Linked DNA regions of Nothobranchius furzeri. Each later gene encodes a partner of the first gene's protein in a complex. Links are inferred from orthologs where the notes say so. Each region holds a gene or a part of one and is shown in the gene's direction. Other genes may lie near its edges.

Region 1 (4,030 bases):
GTGGCGTTCTGGATCTTGGGGAATCCTGTAGAAGGCTCATCCCTTATCTTGTCCACGTCTGTTCTGGCATCCTGGGGCACAACAGGAATCTACCATATTTCCAGTTTCATTGAGTTTCCTGACAATAACAAATAGCCTAGCTGCGGGCTTCTGCCTGCCAAGATGGCGCCGTTCGATTTGAACCGTTGCATGCCGGGAGAAGTGACGTCAACTCCTGGAGCTCTATAAGTCAAAGCTCTAAGTTTGTATAAAGTATTTACTTAGCTGTAGAAGCCAGGGGAGGGACTTAGTGGAAATATAAATTCTGAAACATGACCAACTGTATTACATAGAATAGGGTCAGACCGTTAATAATAGGCAGTTTTGACATGCTTTTAGCACTGCCTAGTGTCCATTTGTAGAACTGAAAGCAAAATCTATCTCCTCACTGTGTGTTCATCTTTTTAACACCTTAATCTAACAGCTGAAATGCCTCTCCAGTCTTCCTTAGTGTCTAAAGGGGTGATTCATCACTAAATTAAACAAATCAGCTGTGTTCATGACGTAAACATGCAGGAAACTTGCTGAAACTAGACTGCAGCACCAGGTATGTCAGCTCAATTTTCTTTTCCAACAGGCACTCTGAAGTTGCAAATGCTGTATTCTGGCCACAGAGGGCGGTAGGGGTCTAAGTGACTTTTAATTAACTTTGTAAATGGTCATTTTAGCACACAGTGGCTCAAGGAAATATGAAATAATTATAAAGTATCCCTTTAAGCATTTTTAAGTTTATTTAACATTTTTAAAGTACGTACACCAGCTTTAGATCTTTATAAAAGACAGTACTTTGTCAATAGCTGTTACAACTGTGTGCAAATATTTTAGCCATCGGTTATACTTTAATCTAATATGTTATAACCTAGAATATGCTCAAAAAAACAATGAAATAATAACAATGAATTAGGAAACACCCTTCCAATGCTTAATGCTCCAACAGAATGGCTGAAGAGATAAGGGGCAGTTTCAAGACCTACAGAGCAAAAGATGCAGTTTACGTTAACATTTATTTATTTTTACTTTTCGAGGAAATATTTGACCGAGTAAAATCCGAGAAAGAGTTGAAATACATGTCATTTAATTATGGTATTTGAAATGTCAGTCTGGGTTCAAAACCCATGAGTCCTCCCGGGTAAAAGGGGGCGCTACTGAGCTCCCATCAGCTGCTTAAATATAGCCAGCGAAGAATTTACTGGAGCGTAACAGACATATCGGCTAGCCATTTTGTATGTTTAATGTCAGTTATCGAGTATTTTCTCATTATTTAATTCTCGCTTCTCTACCCAGCGCAGTTTAATCGGAATCTGCTTTAGGAGAAACGAAAGTTCTCGTTCCTAAAATCATCACAAATGTCAGAAAATACTGGTAAGTTTTAGAGATTTTGCTAGCTAAATAGCGACGTGAGGCTAAATGTAGCATTTTTGACTCGTTGAGACGGGTTTGTTGGAGGCAGATTGAAGTGATCTTTATGTTGTGACTGAGCTGCAGAGACGATAGGCCCGTTTTCTTATTAAAACTTAAATAAAGTTTCTGATTTTGAACACGTAGTCCTCTGAAAATGCCAGGTGACCACATAACCTTGTCAGCCTGATGCCAGGCTGTCACTACTCACAGCCTCCGAGTTTAAAACGTCATCAGAATTATTCCAGAATAAAAAAAAACTGTTTTAGGTTTTTGGGTTCTGTATCCTCGCCAAGTCAGCCGCGGCTGTTTGTAGGCGCTCTTGTTTTGACCAGTAAAGGACATGTAAACATCATAACTACCAGAGTAACGGGGAGTCCAGCTGATGAACAGTAGCAGGGATGCAGGAGCCTGCAGACTGCACAGTTTGACTTAATCCTCGTCTTCTCATTCTGATCAGAACAAACGGAGTATGAGAGCTCGCCTTCCAGCGGGATGACAAACCGAGAGAAGGAAATCGCAGCAAGTGCATATGAAGCTTTTGTGGTAACTGTTTACATACACACACACTCTCTCTCTCTGTGAGCAATGATCTCACCTGATGGCTTACTGAACTTTTTGACTATAAAGGTTATAAATAACTTTCTCTTACACTGCTCTGAAATGTTGGATCCGAAAGGTTTGAAATGACTTTGTAGCTGTAATCTAGAGACCAGGTGTTAGCTTGTGAATCTGATCAGAACCAATTCCTGTTTCTCCACATTGAGGCTGTTCAAAGTACAGGTGCAGTGCAAGTGCAGGTATAGCTTAGAAGTTACCACTAGAGATGCACCCGTTCTGGTTTTTAGGGCTGATAATGATTTCTGATTCATGTGCTGCTGTGATCCACAGACATCTGCCAATACTGATTTTCCCAAAGAGCTATGGATAACTGATCACACTGAGTATCTGCAGGTTGCAGTCACCAGCTGGTTTGTGCTTCTCTTGTAGCTGGGTCGATTTTTTTAATACTTTACATTTTTGATTTGTGTATTTTAAAGAATAATTTTAAGAGGAATAAAAGGAAACTTAAAACAACACTTAATAAGTTTCCTGCATTCCCCTACTGGTTGACATAAGAATTACAACTGTCGTAAACAACCCTGCTGCAACCTGCTAACAACTAGCTAATGCTAACATGAGCCAACTGATACTAAAATAAGCAACAAAGTAAAAAGGTTCACACTGTTGGACCATAAAATTTTATTACATACCAGTCCAGTAGCAACAAAGCCAGGTCATCATTGGTTTGTGGTTTCGTAAGGCCCTATAGCTCCTTCAAATGAGTGTAGCTCTTTGCTTCACCTCCAAAGCTCTTCCTTAACTCCCAGGCTCCATCATGATGCCAACAAACGAAGAAAAATAATTTTTGGTCTCTATATTGGTCTTCAAAGCTAACAGCTAGCTTTAATATTAGCTACCGACTCAGCAAACAGCTGCTGCCATAGTGCATGTGGAGACCACTAGCTTTAGCCACAAAACTGTTTTTGGTTAGCAGAGGTCTACAGAGTGCTGTCCAATGTGAAGTTCCTCAAGTTTCTGGCTCAAGAAGCATTGAAACCAGTTTGAAAACAATAGCTTTAAGCTGTTATAAACCCTCAAGTGTTGCTTGAAATACTTTGTGTGTGCTACAGATTTGTGAAATGAACTTCTGTGCTCCTCAGGCTGGGAAATATGATGAGTCTCTCAAACACCTTGAAGCTCTGCAGGATGTAAATAAAGAGGACTACAAGATCGCCATGAATAAAGCTGTGGTAGAGTTCTTCAGAAGTGGTCAGACCACTTCAGGGACACTCAAGCAAACCCTGATGGCGATGAAAAACCGGGTAGGTGCAGATCTGGTTTTAGATTTTTGCTTTGAACACTTTCATGTTTGCCTTGACGTTTTCCTGGACTCTTTATCTTTCAGCTCCACACATCAGCTGATGATAGTGATGGGTTGGATGATGTAGAGAACTGTTTGTTGTATTATAACCAAGCCATCATCCTCTATCATATGCGACAGTACTCGGAGGCCATCTCCATAGGAGAGAAGCTCTACCAGTTCCTTGAACCATTTGGTAAGTTTTCCTGTTGTGTGAAGGTTGGTTGCCAATGCTGCTTTCACATCAGGCCCTGTCCAGGCTGGGTGGCGTCAGTCTGGATCACACACCGTTTTGTTCACACACACACTTCTCAGGATTACCAAAATCTCAAAGCACGTGGATAGCAAAAGATGCGCGGAGAAGTCTGTGGTGTCCTCCTTAAGTTTGTAAACGAAGGCAGCTGTGACTCCGACATCTGATAGTGATCTGTGATAGTGATTTTTACTATATTATAAATCTTGTTTAGTTTAGAACGAGCCTTAGCCACTTTGTTCTCTGGTGAAAATTAAAGAAGTTCACTTGTAGGTTTTTTTTACAGTTTACGTTTTGTTGTTGTTGTTGTTGTTGTTAACACCTTGAGGAATGAATGTGGAGAAAAGACGATTTATGATTTATTTGCTTTGAAACACCCATTTAGTAACAATGGTCACTCTTGCTGGGCCACCTCATGTCTGGTATGACCCCAGGAA
Region 2 (4,163 bases), on another chromosome or scaffold:
CTCCTGTCCCAGAAACGCATACCCCCGGTCTAAAGTTTAATTTTACACACAGCGAAAATCCTCACGTAATGGTTTGTGATCCTGATTCAAATGCACATCGAGGGGGGACGACGTATAAAACTTCCCCGGTTCTGTTCAATCTTTGGAAGCTTGTGCATGACAAGTGTTGCACTGAGCCAAACTGTCTTTTTTGGACTTTAACAAAAACTACTGCCAGATGGCCGACATTGCTCCTTGCTAGCAAACACTTTTCTGATCACGTGGACTTTGCACGCTGGATCTGGACGCTGCTGGATAGAATTGCTGTAATGGAATTTAAAGCAGAACAGACTGCTTATATTGGAGATTTTTGATGCAGTCCGATATAATCTGATACGGTTTTTTTGGGCCGATATCCGATACCAATATCGGAAGGGGACATCCCTAGTTACAAGAACATAGCTACCCATCTGAGTGTGGTTTATAGGAAATAATCACAGCCTCCCTTCATTTCACTACCAGAATGATATAAAAATCACCTGCAACATTAATAAAAATTATTATTTTAGCCAACAGCTTGGAGCTTCATATTTTCTTTGGATTTAACTTCCTACGTTTGTTTTACTCATTTCCTCAAATGCATCGATTTTAATAACTATAATGTAAAAAGCATCATAGCTGTGCTTTTAAAACAAAGCCACAACTCTTTTGACTGAAGGACTTGCCTCCTCCTGCTGGTTCTGGGTCGCAGCTCTCCTTTTCTTGAAGGAAGCAGAAATGAAGCTCCCTGCTCAGTTCCACCACCGGCTGGTCAGGAAGGAAGTCCAAACAGTCCAGAGCTGCACAGAGCCACTTGTCATCCCAAAGAACGACAAATAAACACAAACATTTACAAGAAAATCTCATTAATCTGTAAAGTAAAGCAGCTGGGATCCATGCCGCCGCCACAGGTTCCAGTTCTCAAACCCACTGGGAGCTCCTGAAGGCCTGGAGGATCTGTCTGTCCAGGTGGTTGCTGCTGTAGATCAGGTCTGGGTTTCCATGAGCCACCAGGCTGGCTGTAGAAGGAGGAGGAGGAGGAGGTCTGGCTGCACTGGAGCACTCCTTCCAGCAGGGAGAGCTCTATAATGTTTAACAGCCGGAGAAGAGTCTGCTCGGTCAGACGAAGGAACACGTGGAAACTCCATTACCCACAGTGCACCTCGAGGTAAAGGTCACAAGAAATTTAAACGGGTAGTGCGGCACATTAAGAACCTACTTTTACAGCCATAACAGGCACTTATATTGCTTTTGGAGTTTATTTTGTCGCTAATTGCTTGTTCGTTAAGATTGTTTTGTTGTTAAATAGTCAATTATTGTTGAAAATAAGTCAGACCAAAAGCTGAGTCCTGGAAAACGCTAAGCTAAGCTAAGTGGAGGCTAACACAACTCCAGGATGCTAATATCGTTGACTTTCTGATTCACTTCACAACCATGGATTAGCACGTCTTGTCCCGGTATTTTTCCAACAATAACTAGTTTTAAAAACGGAGCAGAACTTCCCCGCAGCTGAACAGAACCGGAGGAGACGATGAGCCTAGCTCCGAAGGAACTGTCCAACCTGCTGAGCATCATCTCGGAGGAGGCCTGCTCCAACTCCTTCGAGACTCTTTCCACTCACTTCCATCATTACTTTGGCAAAGCAGAGCACTTCCGGGTGGGCTCGGTGCTAGTCATGCTTCTCCAGCAGCCGGACCTGCTGCCCAGCTCCCCGCAGCGGCTCACCGCCCTCTACCTGCTGTGGGAGATGTACCGGACGGAGCCCCTGGCCGCCAACCCGTTCGCTGCTGTCTTTGCCCACGTCCTGAACCCGGCTCCGGCAGGAGAGGAGCAGGAGAAGGCGCTGTCCGGTAGGACTAAATAATCCGGCATTAATGAAATCCATTCATTGCCATTGTATACTGGTAACACAAATATAAACACATCAAAGTCCATGATGGAGTCCCATACGTCTATGAGAGGAATGGCAGGAAATACAAGTTGCTAATACTGCTCCTGCACATTTACTGAAAATCTACGTATCTAAGGAGATGAATTCAGCCCCACCTGTTACCTGTGGTGATTTTGTGTTCAGGCTTCCTGCCGCCTATCACCCAGCCAGAGAAGTTCTTCCTGTCCCAGCTGATGTTGGCACCACCCAGAGACCTCTTCAAGAAAACACCCAGACAGGTGTCCTGCATGGACATCACCAACATGCCCCAGCCCATCGACATCAGTGGGCTGCAGCTCGCATTAGCAGGTCGGGGTGTGTGTGTGTGTGTGCCTGTCCTCTGCATCAGAGCTCTTGCCCCAGTGAGTAGACAGCTGCTCAGGGGAGAAAGCAGTGTGTGCATATGTGTGTGTGTGGCATAAGATTATGAGGACACACACAGAAAATTAATAAACTAATGTGGTTCAGAGTCTCCAAAAGCAACACAGCTCGTGCCCGCCTTTGTTTACCTTATTATGGAGGACACCGCGGACTTTCCCGCGCGTATTAATCACCGCCCACAGGCTCGGGGATTTCTGCGTTCCTGAGAAGTCGCTCGGATTTATACGTGAACACTACACCGCCCGTTCGAGACCAGACTCGCTCCATCCAGACCCACCTAACGGGTTGCCTACCCCCGGTTCAGGCTGAGGTTTAACTTATTTAAGCCTACTTAATACCAACTTGATATAAATATTTTGCAAATACTGACTAAGAGTTATACGGTGCACTTATAATCTAAAATAAATCGAAACATATGGTAAAAATATGGCCTGTATTTGATATAGTGCCTTCTAGAGTCCTGGGAGTCCAAGGCGCTTTACAACGCCATCAGTCATTCACCCATTCACACACTGGTGGGGATGAGCTACGACGTAGCCACAGCTGCCCTGGGGCGCACTGACAGAGGCGAGGCTGCCGAGCACTGGTGCCACGGTGCCTCCGACCACCACCAGCAGGCAAGGGGGGTTAAGTGTCTTGCCCAAGGACACAACGACAGCAACAAACTGAGCGGGGCTCGAACCTGCAACCTTCCAGTTATGGGGCAAGCACTTAACTCCTGTGCCACCGTCGCCCACATATGTTGCATAATGGTTATTTAGTCCCCTCCAGCGGTGCTGTGGGAGAGTGTACGGCAGCGGCGCGTCACTCAGAGATGATTTATTTTTTATCAGCCTGAGAAACTTATCTCTAAACTAATCAGTGACAGGTCCCATCAGTTAATGTAATAATTGTCCCAGGCATTTTGGGCATCCCTCTCCCTGCTTTCACAGTGATCGTGTGCTGCAGCACACACACACACACCATAGACATAAACATAGATGACACCTGGACAGTTTGCAGCACATGAACAGGATACAAACAAATGAAGTAGAAGAATTCAACACCAACAGCTGCAGGTGTTAATAATACAGTGTAAAACAATCACATATATGAGCTGTTTTGTTGGTAGAGTCTGTTGTTGTTTTTAGCACTTAGGTAGTTAAAGAATGAGTTGCAATGTAGTTTGTTCCAGTGGTGTTGCTGTGGTGTGATGTCATCAACAGGCGCAGGTCCCTGAGCGGATCTGATACCTACACCAGCATCAGAAAAGGAATTGCAAACAAGCAACTGTGGGCCAGAGCCGCTGAAATAAAACCAGGAGCTGGATGCGTTTCGAGTTGAGGCGCTGATCGAGCACAAAACACGTATAAAACATGTTACATGGAAGTAGAGCGGGTTGTCCAGTAATCAGAGGGTTGTCCCGGCTCACCGCCCGGGTAGCTGTAGCTACACTGTAGCTCATCACCATCAGTGTGTGAACGTGTGTGTGAATGACGCACTGTAGTGTAAAGCGCTTTGGAGTCCTCTGACTCATGGCACTAAATAAGTGTGGGTCATTTATCATCATTGTCCTGGTTCATCATGTCCGCTCTTTAAGCACCTCACCATTACGTCGTGTATAGTTCTGCTCCAAACAAGGAGCTAATGTTTAACACGTCATTTGTAAGTCAGGTGAGAACATTGGTTGATGGTGAGCGTGTTTACGTACGTTATTACACGCTCGTACCAGGATGGTCGTGTCGCTCTCACCTTCAGCCCCTGACCCGTTTCCATGTCTGCTCCTTGGTCTAACAGAGCGCCAGTCGGAGCTTCCCACTCAGAGTAAAGCCAGCTTCCCCAGCATCCTGAATGA
Region 3 (4,226 bases), on another chromosome or scaffold:
GAGGTGTGAAAGGAGGATGCTGGGGAAGATGACCTCCCCCTTAAAAAGCCCCTCCCCGCCCCCACTGTGGAGACCATGGACAGCTCCTTTACAGGCATCCCAGATGTAGAACTGAACGCTACCGTAGGTCATTCATCCCCTCAGCAGCAAGTGTAGGATTCCCCAGTTTAACTGGTACTGGCATTATCCTGGTACACAACACCACCAATGCAATACTCAGTGTGTGTGTTCAATACCAGATGTACGCAGTACGTTCGTGTCTCTTACTGTACGCTGCATAGTTCTGGAAACACATGTTTCCTTTATTTGTTGTTTTTAGTGGTTGGAGGTTACAATAATAGCAGTGGCTCCCCAAAAGGGTGGCCAGGGCCACACCGGAGGAGTAGGGTTACAGGTAACAACTGGTTTGACCATTAACCCCGGTTAACCCACCGTAAACACGTGTCCAACACCACTAAAGGTGTAAAAAGCAGCGCGAGCCGCACGGACAGAGGGGGGTTCAACCATCAGGACTCCTGTGTTTCAGACAGACACGGGAGCCTAGGTGGGATATTTGCCAAAATGATGGTAGTTACATGTGACTGACGGACAGGTGGGTAAACACAGGAGAAGACGCTAGAAAAGTTAGACTTTTTCACCTTCCTGAAAACGATGTGAGCTAAAGTTAATTAGCATAACAGAGGGGCTCCAGTTTGCAACCACACGTTGATGGAAAACATGTTTCCGTAACCTCTGTGAGCGTTTAGGCTCAGGACACACTAACCGGAAACAGATAGCAGGGCAGCTAAAACGCTAATCTACAGAAAATAACCCAACCGGAAACAAAAAAATAACATTCATGAATTTACCGTTTTTCCTGGATGAGAAACTAATTTCACTGACCTTTCCAAGCTGCCCGCGAGCAGGTTGCCATGTCTGCTTCTGGTGGTCCGTTGTCCGTGTAAAAACAGCAGTTCGCTCAATGGTTCCGCACAAACACACATATTTATTTTTAAAAGGTCGGCTCTAACTTAACCAGTTTACATTACAGGAAACCGTTTAAAAACGTTTCTAAAATCTCATCTAATGTTAAAGATTCACTGATTTAAATGATCGAGTTCAGTATTTGTTTTAAGGTGTGATTAGAAGTAAATGTTGATGTTAAAATCGTGTAAAGTGGCAAAATGAATGAATTGCAAGCATAAGATAAACAAATAAAAATAATGCCGAATCTCTGGTTTTTGCATCGGGTTTTTGTCAAATAAAGTGACGTCAGCTACACGTCACAGATGACGAGTTTAACCAGCTAGCACGTGTCCTTCACATGTTTAGTATCAAACTTTAGCGTAATATGTGTCACTTATTAACAATTAATAAATGAGCATATTTGTAAAGTTTCGTTTGGGATTTATGCTAAGAAGCTAGTAGGCGCGTGCACGACCGCGCTCTGGACTGTCGGTAACGAGCGGAAGCCGCGTTTGTTGTTCTTCCTTCTGTTTCCGAGACGTTCAGGGTTGAACCCGCGCCTGCATGTCGCTGCCAGTTCCCTTCTACAGCCCCCGGATGAAGGTAAACACGTTTTGTATCTAGAGCCGGTTCGCCCGGGCGGCTCGGCGCTAAACCAGCTTAGAGCCCGACTCGGTCCTTGTCCGGTCGTGTCCCCCACCCTAAGCCCCTGGAGCCCGGGGAGCATGCGCCCAGCCGCCGCTGGCTGACTTACTCCAGCCCCGTGCTTCGGGAGCGCTGGTCGGTTACCGTGACCGGTCTTTGCTGCATAGGTAAATGTGTCGCTGACATCCGTGGAAGGTGTCGAATCGGAGCGCGTGTTTACCTTGGTGTCAGGTGTGCCAGCAGCTGGTGAGCGGGCCTGTCCTCTTGTCACTTTTGACACCACAGCTATGTTTGGACACTCGTCCCTCAGCTGCCTGAGCAGTTGTCACTGCTGCATACTTTCCAACACACACACACACACACACACACACACACACACACACACACACACACACACACACACACACACACACACACACACACACACACACACACGGCCCTCTTTCAGCTCCTGAGGCAACATGACCTGTTGGAGTTGTGATGGTGTCTGCAGACACTTGTGACCTGCTGCGCCTGAACCCACCTCACCCAAAGGCCCTGAACGTATTTGCTGTAACTCACCATTCTGAAGTAATCAGGCTGTAGATCCACAGGAACGTTTAAAGATGAGGTTCTACGACGATCATCCTACAAGTGCAGGAAGTCCTCTGGATGACTTTTCTTTATGTGGATAACTTCTGATTAAAACTGTAATCACTGATCAAATGTTCTGCTGGTTTGTTCTGGTTTCAGTGGTTTTGTTGCTCCTCAGCAGGTGAAACCTCCTGAGAAAAATGAGCAGTTTGCTTCCGTCATCATTAACTAAAAAACGCCTCGAGCTTTTTTTTAAACCTTTGAGTTTCTTATAAATTGTTCTTCTCTTGTTTTCCACATTTTTTTAGTGCTTGAAATAAAAGTTGGTGTTTTCTTTTACGATTGCCACGATAACTCGTGCTCCTGGTTTGTCCTGCAGATTAACAGGAATGCCAAAGGAGAAATATGACCCCCTAGATCCCCGCAGATGTTACACCATCATGTCAGCTGAGGAGGCGGCTGGTGGGAAGAAGTCTCACTGGGCTGAGCTGGAGATCTCTGGTCAGTCTGCATTTACTTCCAGTAAAACACACTCTGGACGTTATATCCAGAGAAAGTCTTGTCCATGTTTTCAGTGTCGGGGTCAGTTTGGCCCACTGTGTTCAGAAATGTTAGTAAAATGAAGCTCCGCCACCTACACAGGAAGGGTGCGGAGCCTGAGCAGCTCGTTATGGACCCTCACCCACCTGACGGCGCTCCACATCAACGACAACAACCTGACTCGTATCCCACCGGACATCGCCAAGCTGCCCAACCTGGTCTACCTGAACCTGTCATCCAATAAGCTCCGAAGTCTGCCCGCCGAACTGGGCAACATGGTTACTCTCAGGTGGGTGGAGTTCTGACCCCTGACCTTTAACTCAGCTGCAGTGTGGGTGGGGTCGTCCGTCGTGTCCGACAGTTTCAACCGAACTGATGCTAAAGCGGTCATTTAAAACCCTGAATCAGGTGATTAAACCAGTCAGACATGAACACAGGTCAAGGGTGAGAAAGGTGAGACCCTCCCACGTGTGCGTACACACACACACACACACACACACACACACGCACGCACACACACATACGCACACACACACCTGTCTGTAAGGACGGACGTGGGGGGTGCTGCAGTGTGTGTGTGTGTGTGTGTGTCTGTGCATACATACACATAGACACACACACATGCACACACACACACACACATGCACACACACACACACATGCACAGACATACATACACACACATACGCACACATGCACATGCACACACACACATGCACAGACACACATACACACACATACGCACGCACTCACACACACATGCACAGACATACATACACACACATACGCACACATGCACATGCACACATGCACAGACACACACACACACACACACCTGTCTGTAAGGACGGACGTGGGGAGTGCTGCAGTGTGTGTCTGTGTGTGTGTCTGTGTGTCTCTGCATACATACACATAGACACACACACATGCACACACACACACATGCACAGACATACATACACACACATACGCACACATGCACATACACACACACACATGCACAGACACACATACACACACATAGACACACATACGCACGCACGCACTCACACACACATGCACAGACACACATACACACACACACACGCACGCAAACACACACATACACACACACATGCACGCGCGTGCACACACACATGCACGCACACACCCTCCCCAGCCAGCTGAGGTGGCTCGGGCGCCTGGTCAGGACGCCTCCTGGTGAGGTTTTTCGGGCATGTGTATCTAGCGGTGGGATTTGATCAGTTTTTATCAATAACAACAACCTTGTCGATTCTGTCCATCGATCCAGTTCCTTATCAATTCCAGAGAAGTTCAGTAGGTGGGCAAGTGGCTCGGGAGAGGGCAGTGTGGGCCTCCCGACTCGGGCTGCTGCCCCGCGACCCGACTCCGTATGAGCGGATGAAAATGGTTTTAAATGAACAAGTTAAAAATGATGAATAACACGTCATAAACAGATGTTTGAAGTCTGGACTCAAGTTCTGCAAGAACTTCTAAATCAGCAAAACGACATTATAATTCAT
Region 4 (3,513 bases), on another chromosome or scaffold:
GGCATTTGTAATTCAACACAGTGCTCCAGAGTTGTTAAAAGAACTGAATAAAGCCAGTAAACAAGTGCGACCCCTAAGAAGCTACTGCATCCTTTAGTTGTACTCTAAAGCCCTTTTCAGACAGACATTCTGGAACATTTGCGGACAATTCAATCCGGTTTTTAACCGGAACTGTGTTTTCAGACACACCACTTTTGTACCGGAACTTGTCCTTTCGGCTGCGTTCACACAGCAGGGAAAAGTTCCAGATGTCTGACGGCGGCGGGGGGTGGTGGTGGTGGGGGGGTGATCGGACTCATGTTAAGAAGAAGAAGAAGAAGAAGAAGAAAATATCATTTCTACAGCGCCTCTCAAGATAAAAATCACGAGGCGCTTAAGCATAATTCTGCGCACACGAAGACGCATAAGAGACCTGGATGATGAAGCTCAATGGTTAAAGGAATCACTGAAGCGGTGTGAAGCGCTCCCTCGCGCGTCTAGACGGTACCGTAGGAGGCGAGCTGCCGTTGATCGCCGCATGCTACAGCAGCGGGCTATCTAGGTGCGCACAGCGTCCCCCGGTCCCCTCCTCCTCCCCCTCCCTCTTGTCCGGAACTTTACCTCACCAGTCTGAATCAGCCACCCTGTCCGTAACAAGTCCGGACCTGTTACTAGGGGCTTCGTCCGGATAAATTCCGGAACACATTATCCGGATGTTTGTATTCAGACAGAAAGGTCTTACGGACAGATTCCGGAACATTTCCGTTTTTCATGGCCTGTCTGAAGGGGGCTTAATGTTGAGTAAAGCAGGCTAGAGTTTATTATTGAGCTAACAATGCTAACGATGAATAAGGAGCAAATAGTCAGCTCAAAAATATCTCAAGCTACTTTTTCAATTACCAATAACTTGATGTTACAGTGAAATGTATGTGTGAAGTGAGTAATTGAGTTTTTCTTCCTTTAATGAGTTGCTCAGAACTTTTAACGGCAGGCTAACAGCAAGAATGCACACAACCACACTTCCTGTAATAACTGAAACAAACTACCATAATAAGTGTAGTAAGTGCTCCCTGCCATAAAACACCCAGGAATGCTAACACCAGATATGACAATGTATTCATCAACTTATCCACTTTCTGTGTATGACTCGTCTTCGCTCGTCATCTAGAATCTTCTGGTGCTCGTCATTAAACGGCAACAGCCATGAAACTCACAGAACGGCAGTGAGAACGTGATGTTTTTGCCAAAAAAATGAACCCCAGTACCCACATTTGTCCGCTAGATGTCATTCTTACAGATTGCACCTTTAAACATTCCTTCAGCCCCTCTTAAATGATTCTTCCAGACGCAGATAGAAAAGATGTCGGTGTGTAACTCCTTAAATTTGAAATATTTCCCCCAAAAATGATAACCTCCTTCTCCTACTACAAATATTTTGAAACTACAAATATTTTTTGATAATATATAGTATTTTGGTTTAAATATATATTGTACTGTTTGTAGTTTTAACCGTTTTCATTCTAAAACCAGCGACGTAGTGTGATCTCTGTAACTCTCGTGGTAAATGAGGACGCTGCACCGATGGGGTTTCATGATGAGTCGAAGTCTTTTTCCTGTGTTTTGGTTAACTCACTGCTACTGATGGGTGGAACTAGTAATTTCACCAAATAAAACCCATCTGATTATGATTTAATAACTAAAGCAAGACAACGCCTTAGAAGGGAGTGTTTAAGGTTGCTGTCAGCTTCAGAAACACGTGAACGAGTGAAATTTTTCCTGTCTGTGTTCCTTAGCTCTCTTCTCGGTCATGTGCTATAACGTGCTGTGTGATAAATACGCCACGAGGCAGCTCTATGGCTACTGCCCGACCTGGGCTCTAAACTGGGAGTACAGGAAGAAGTCCATCATGCAGGAAATCCTCGGCTGCAACGCAGACATCATCAGTTTGCAGGTAAGATAATATCCAAGAATTCATTAAGACTTTGTAACTAGGATTACAAGATGTTCATAATGTGATTTTTAGTCAAATAAATGTTTTATGGACAGTGTGTTGGCAAAACTGTGGCTTGTTTTGCAGCTGCTTGTATTGTAGAACGATTGATCAAAGTGTAATCATGTTCAGTTTGATCAGGGATCAAAGGTCAATATTGTTTTATTTGTGCTTTTTCTTTTTTTTTGGGGGGGGGGGGGGGGGGTCCATCAGTTTCATTACGTTGCCAAGAATCAGGATTGGTTCTTTTGTTTTGGTAAAAGCACTTTGGGTTTCGGATTTTTGACTGGTGAGGAGGGGGTTTCCTGGGGGGATTAGATGTTTTACACCATTTTTGTGTTTCAGTTCCTGTCTGGCCTAGGGTTGTCACGGTAACCGGTGTAGCGGTAAACCCCTGTAAAAAAAGTTGACAATAATGATAACCGTCTTGTTTTAAAAAAAACTATATTATCTCGGTGGATTACCGTGGCTGCGGTGTAGGCGCGGTGACCCTTACCAGCCACCGTATCATCTGCTGAAGTTGCCCGTGGGACATGCGCACTTTGTTGTTTACAACCAAAACTTTCTTGAAGCTAAAGCTGAAATAATGGCCAAAGGAGGAGACGGCAGCACTCAGGACATTTATTATCCCTCAAAGAAGACAAAGTCGGAAGTATGGGCATCTTTTGGATATTTGAAGAATGCTGAGAGACAGTTGATAGAAGACGGCTATCCGGCAGCAACACTTCAAATCTCATGACACATCTGCGTGACCATCACCCACAACGCTACAGTCAACGAAAGGCAAGCTAACGTTAGCGTTTTAGCTAAAATGTGTGATCCGAGGATTTGGGTTGAGGGAGAATGAAACGAGTCGCTATATAAAGCAGCCGCACCGCCGCTACCTGCATATAAACCGTGTCGCGGACACCGCCATATTGAAATGATGCTATGCATTACGGGGCTCCCAGGGGCAGATAAGAGTTGGTCTCTCTCCGAGAATAATTATGAATTTAACAACGATTACTGCCTGATGACATTTTCCCAAATCTGCAAAGCTCACTGGAAGGACACAAACCGAGGACAATATTTTCCTGATCTAGGGTTTATTACTCAAGTAAGGGTAAAAAGTATCTGATTAGAAGGCTACTTGAGTACTGAGTATCATCTGATCTAATATTTTTAAAATGATGACATCAAAAAGACATAAAATAAGAAGTTATGGGCAAATATTGGTATTTTCAAGACTAAAGGGGAAAAATGTAAACAAATAAACAACATAATTACAAAATAACACATTTTAGGCTAAATTTAGACACAAACTGAGGACAATATTTCCTGACATACAGGGTTTTATTTAATTGTGTGAAAATGTAGCACGTTTAAAAAAAAATACCGCAATAATACCGAAAACCGTGGTAATTTTGGTCACAATAACCGTGAGGTTAAATTTTCACACCGTGACAACCCTAGTCTGGCCTGGTATGAACTGCTGAGTTTGAAGCCTTCTCAAAGAATAGTGTGTAAAAAATAGAGTCGATGCACAAACAGCGTGTCCCTATGTT
Region 5 (3,973 bases), on another chromosome or scaffold:
ACGTGCAACTTCTGTAAACACCAGGAATCATCAACATCTACAACTGAAAGATAATTCTGTTTCTAACCCTAATTAGATGTTAATTTCCTGCAACAATGCTTGCGTTTTTAACATAATAAGGCTTTATTAATTTGGGCGAATTAGAAAAGCATAAAATCTATGATTAAACAAATGTCTAAAAGGCCTGTAAATCTTCCTTAATTTTTTTTTCAATTCAATTCTTTATTTCACTCAAAGTTTAAATATACAAAATATACAAACTTCAAATCAGAATATAAGCATTCAAGTGAAATAATTTAATAATAACCTTTCTTTATTCTTTATTTATACTTACATAAGGTGTAATACTTTGAGGTGTTTAGAGTTTATCTGATTTAATTATTTGGCAAAACAATGAATTAATACATTATATAGTGTTTTAGAGACGTTCTTGTTCAGAACTATGCAGCTCTTTTATTGTCCAAAGTGGGAGTGAGGTAATAAACTATTAGTTCAACAGTAATGATTTTTACTGCATTTAACAACAAAAATAAATTAGTTTTTAGGGGGAAAAATTGTCAACAAGCAGCTGAGAATTATTAGGGCAAAAAAGACTAAAACTCAGAGTTGTTCAGATATAAAACACAATTCTCAAATAATGTAGTTTATAATGTTTAGTTCAAGTATCTGTTTAAATAATAGATTTATAAACCAAAGGATGGGAAAAAGGCCAAGAGGGAGAAACTTCTTCTTTCCCTATATGTGTGAGTGAGGATTTAATGAGACTTCAGGGTAAAAGAAACCTTTCTTTTCTTTTATAACTGATTACATTTTTGGTCAAAATGAGTCAAATGCAATTAAATTACAAACACGTGCAATTTTGCAAGAAGGTGAAAAAGGAATACCGATAATCACACATAATTTTATTACAGATGGCTCTATTTGTTAATTTTTTTTTACTTTATATGCTATTTTAAAGGTTAAATTAACATTTCACTCTAATTGTAACAGAAAACACATCACAGTCAAATCCAGTATTTGTATTTTTTTCTTTTTTTCCCTGTAAAATCTTCATCATTATTAGAATATTTGTGATTTTAGATGCGATCGCTCGTTGAAGACATAGATATATATAAACGTATGTTCATTTACATGTGTATGGTTGAGGACACCAGCAGCCGGCTCGGGTTTGTGTACGGAAGTGGTCAGCAGGGTCAGAGGGTAAAGGCTCTTTCCACTGGAAGTACACACAGCCATCTTGGATCTAACGAAGCGAAGGGAAATTGATGCGGTGAGCCTATTTTACTTATTATCAGTCTTGTCGGATGGTGTTGTATAAACGTGACCTCTCGACTGGAGCTTTGAGCTGGGTTTCTCTCGTTTTGATCCGTGGCAGCTCGTTAGCCTTTAGCATCAGCGGGTTGCTAACGCTGCAGGTGCTTGCAAACGGAGCGTAGCCGATAACACGGACAACTGACTGTAGATATAGAAACACAGAGACTATTGCAGGTAAATACAGACTGCTGCTGGATCGTTAAATCGTGGTGATTTGTAACGTAAACGCTTCCACTATTCTCACGGTTAAAGTGGCTCGTTCACAAACTGAAACTAAGCTAACAAAACACCTAGCATGTTAACGTTAGCTACTTAGTTTCGGCTAACTAACATGTTAGCATTGCTGTTATAGTTTTCACTCCCACTAAGTTTTCATGAATATTACAACAAATTCAGCTGTCAAATGAAAGTTAATAACCACCTGGGCTAAAAACTAAACTATTGTTTAATTTCTCCAACATTTATATATGTCAGTGTTTTTCAAATGTCATCTATGTAATAAATTAGATTTGAGGACAATTTCGTAAACCTTTCTGAATTTTCTTATTGAACATTAATTGCTTTTTCACTCATAATCCACCTAGCCTTATTGAGTCGGCGTAGTTGATCACTTTCCGTTAATTATTGTTTGTTTTTGAGCCACATCTGTCTCCGTGTCCCATCAAAACGAAACAGTTTTCTATATTTTGTATTTAAGATCTTCAAAAATGATCAAGATGGCAGTTTAAATTTATATTTGAATTCCTCCTAAGCGATTCCCAGCCTCCTATTAGTTGAAAAGTTCTTATTTATAAAAAGACGTGACTTTTGGACGTTAGTTATCAGGTGTAGATTTTAAGCCTTGAGATTTATTTCTACTCAGCTTCTCTTGTTTTTTAGTGTAATGGTCATGTAAGAAAAAAAATACTGGGAAAAATAATAAAAATCTAAAGCCAAACTTTGAAAAACTTCACAAAAAGTTGAAAGACTGTTCTTCAAAAGCACATGTAAAAGGTTAATGGAAAGTCTGCCACAGCCTAACAGGAAACATACTTGTTTTGTGGTGGTTTCTGCTTAAAATTAATTTTCTGTTTGTTTTGTGATGTTGTGATTTGAAAACCTAAGTGTGTCTGAAAAGCTGAGTATTATTTACCACAGTCTTCTGGGCTGGAGCAGCGCCCAAGTTGCCGTGGCTTGCCAGAGAAAGAGATCGACAAACAGGGCTCAGGAATATCTTAAAAAATGAGTTTGAGAAGTTAATCTGGCCTCCAAACTCCAGTTGTTAATTCGATGATCTTGTCTCATTTATTTTGCCCCCTTTAGTCTCCACCTTTACTAAAGTTCCCTCATTCTTTAGGTGACAAAAGGCATGTTTGGTGCTAGAAAGAAATTTCCAGAGTTCGTCGAGGCCGTCGACAATGACTTCCCAGATGAAATGTATTACAGCCAGGGGTCGATGTTCCCACATCGATCCGACAAAGATGTAAGTCTCGTCATATTTCTGTGTGGTCATGTTATCTGATGGGGAGTTTTTCTGATTATTTTTCTTGTTTGTGAATCTTATTGTCCAGATACTGTCTTCTCCTTCACCGTCGTCTGGTCAGCTGTCACAGCTCGGTCCAAGTTTGTACGGTCCACAAAGTTAGTATTTGCTGTTCTATTTGTACCACAGAATGAACTAGTTTCACATTTGTTACAGATCAGTAGTAGACGTGGACTGATCATACAATGCAAAGAATTCTGTCTGGATTATTTAATATTATTTTGGATTAACTTGGTTCTTTTTTTTGTCCAGGTGCAATTGGCTTCCCCGTTAGAAGCTTGGGAAACAGCACACCTCAGTTAAACCGAAATCTCACGCAAGGGTCGCAGCTACCAAGTCATATCACCCCAACAACAGGCGTCCCCACCATGTCACTCCATACCCCGCCGTCGCCGAGCAGGTTTGTGTTTCTGCTACTAATAATTGTAAAATTGCAACAAAATGTTCATTCTTAAATGTGTTTTTGCAGAGGCACGTTACCGATGAGTTCCAGGAACATACTAAATCACTCTCAGGTTGGTCAAGGCATCGGGCTGAGCAGCAGGACCAATAGTATGAGCAGCTCAGGACTCGGGAGCCCCAACCGCAGCTCACCTAGCATCATCTGTATGCCCAAACAGCAGCCGTCACGTCAGCTGTGCACCATAAGCAGGTAGATTTTAAAATCCTTACGTTTATCAACATCCCTCTGTGGACACCGGCTGAAGAACCGGTCTTTTATCTTCTCCGTGCAGCATGTCAGGGTTTGGTATGAACCGCAATCAGGCGTTTGGGATGAACAACGCGTTAGCAAGCAACATCTTCAACGGCACAGGTGGGTAGTTTCTTTTGAATTTCGAAAGGCTGCAAAGTGTCACGGAGCTTCATGTTGCAGTGGAGTTAGTGAACAACTGCTGGCTCTGCAGTAGAATGTGTTTATGTTAAAGTCTGGTTTTAAATCTGAGCAGCACAAAAATGAAAACAAAAGAATAAATGTATGCATTTTATCAATCTTAAAGACAAAATGTATGGTTTTTATTTGCTGCAGTAGCGATTAGTACGTATTACTATAGAGAGTGTGTTAACATGCTGTTGCAGATGGGAGCGACAGCGTGATGGGACTGGATCTGTCAGACTTCCCCGCATTAGCAGACAGGA

The links.
Region 2: cnot10 (region 1) and cnot11 share a complex: the UniProt entries of both Homo sapiens proteins name them as parts of the CCR4-NOT complex. The link is inferred for Nothobranchius furzeri from reciprocal best matches to the Homo sapiens genes CNOT10 and CNOT11.
Region 3: cnot10 (region 1) and cnot6l share a complex: the UniProt entries of both Homo sapiens proteins name them as parts of the CCR4-NOT complex. The link is inferred for Nothobranchius furzeri from reciprocal best matches to the Homo sapiens genes CNOT10 and CNOT6L.
Region 4: cnot10 (region 1) and cnot6a share a complex: the UniProt entries of both Homo sapiens proteins name them as parts of the CCR4-NOT complex. The link is inferred for Nothobranchius furzeri from reciprocal best matches to the Homo sapiens genes CNOT10 and CNOT6.
Region 5: cnot10 (region 1) and cnot2 share a complex: the UniProt entries of both Homo sapiens proteins name them as parts of the CCR4-NOT complex. The link is inferred for Nothobranchius furzeri from reciprocal best matches to the Homo sapiens genes CNOT10 and CNOT2.

The regions. Positions count from the first base shown.
Region 1 is NC_091745.1:58,557,405-58,561,434, reverse strand, and holds the start of cnot10 (CCR4-NOT transcription complex subunit 10), read left to right. Parts: upstream 1-1,219; 5' UTR 1,220-1,385; coding exon 1,386-1,401; intron 1,402-1,897; coding exon 1,898-1,983; intron 1,984-3,140; coding exon 3,141-3,302; intron 3,303-3,385; coding exon 3,386-3,536; intron 3,537-4,030. UniProt on the Homo sapiens protein: Component of the CCR4-NOT complex which is one of the major cellular mRNA deadenylases and is linked to various cellular processes including bulk mRNA degradation, miRNA-mediated repression, translational repression during translational initiation and general transcription regulation.
Region 2 is NC_091754.1:35,255,063-35,259,225, forward strand, and holds the start of cnot11 (CCR4-NOT transcription complex subunit 11), read left to right. Parts: upstream 1-1,358; 5' UTR 1,359-1,549; coding exon 1,550-1,868; intron 1,869-2,092; coding exon 2,093-2,257; intron 2,258-4,105; coding exon 4,106-4,163. UniProt on the Homo sapiens protein: Component of the CCR4-NOT complex which is one of the major cellular mRNA deadenylases and is linked to various cellular processes including bulk mRNA degradation, miRNA-mediated repression, translational repression during translational initiation and general transcription regulation.
Region 3 is NC_091750.1:40,065,548-40,069,773, forward strand, and holds the start of cnot6l (CCR4-NOT transcription complex subunit 6-like), read left to right. Parts: upstream 1-1,418; 5' UTR 1,419-1,548; intron 1,549-2,542; 5' UTR 2,543-2,552; coding exon 2,553-2,664; intron 2,665-2,805; coding exon 2,806-2,992; intron 2,993-4,226. Other genes in the region: mrpl1 (large ribosomal subunit protein uL1m), read right to left, coding at 883-913. UniProt on the Homo sapiens protein: Has 3'-5' poly(A) exoribonuclease activity for synthetic poly(A) RNA substrate.
Region 4 is NC_091741.1:95,565,322-95,568,834, reverse strand, and holds part of cnot6a (CCR4-NOT transcription complex subunit 6a), read left to right. Parts: intron 1-1,772; coding exon 1,773-1,930; intron 1,931-3,513. UniProt on the Homo sapiens protein: Poly(A) nuclease with 3'-5' RNase activity.
Region 5 is NC_091744.1:77,738,549-77,742,521, forward strand, and holds the start of cnot2 (CCR4-NOT transcription complex subunit 2), read left to right. Parts: upstream 1-1,165; 5' UTR 1,166-1,270; intron 1,271-1,355; exon of another isoform or gene 1,356-1,488; intron 1,489-2,650; 5' UTR 2,651-2,662; coding exon 2,663-2,776; intron 2,777-2,864; coding exon 2,865-2,934; intron 2,935-3,088; coding exon 3,089-3,236; intron 3,237-3,305; coding exon 3,306-3,488; intron 3,489-3,570; coding exon 3,571-3,650; intron 3,651-3,913; coding exon 3,914-3,973. UniProt on the Homo sapiens protein: Component of the CCR4-NOT complex which is one of the major cellular mRNA deadenylases and is linked to various cellular processes including bulk mRNA degradation, miRNA-mediated repression, translational repression during translational initiation and general transcription regulation.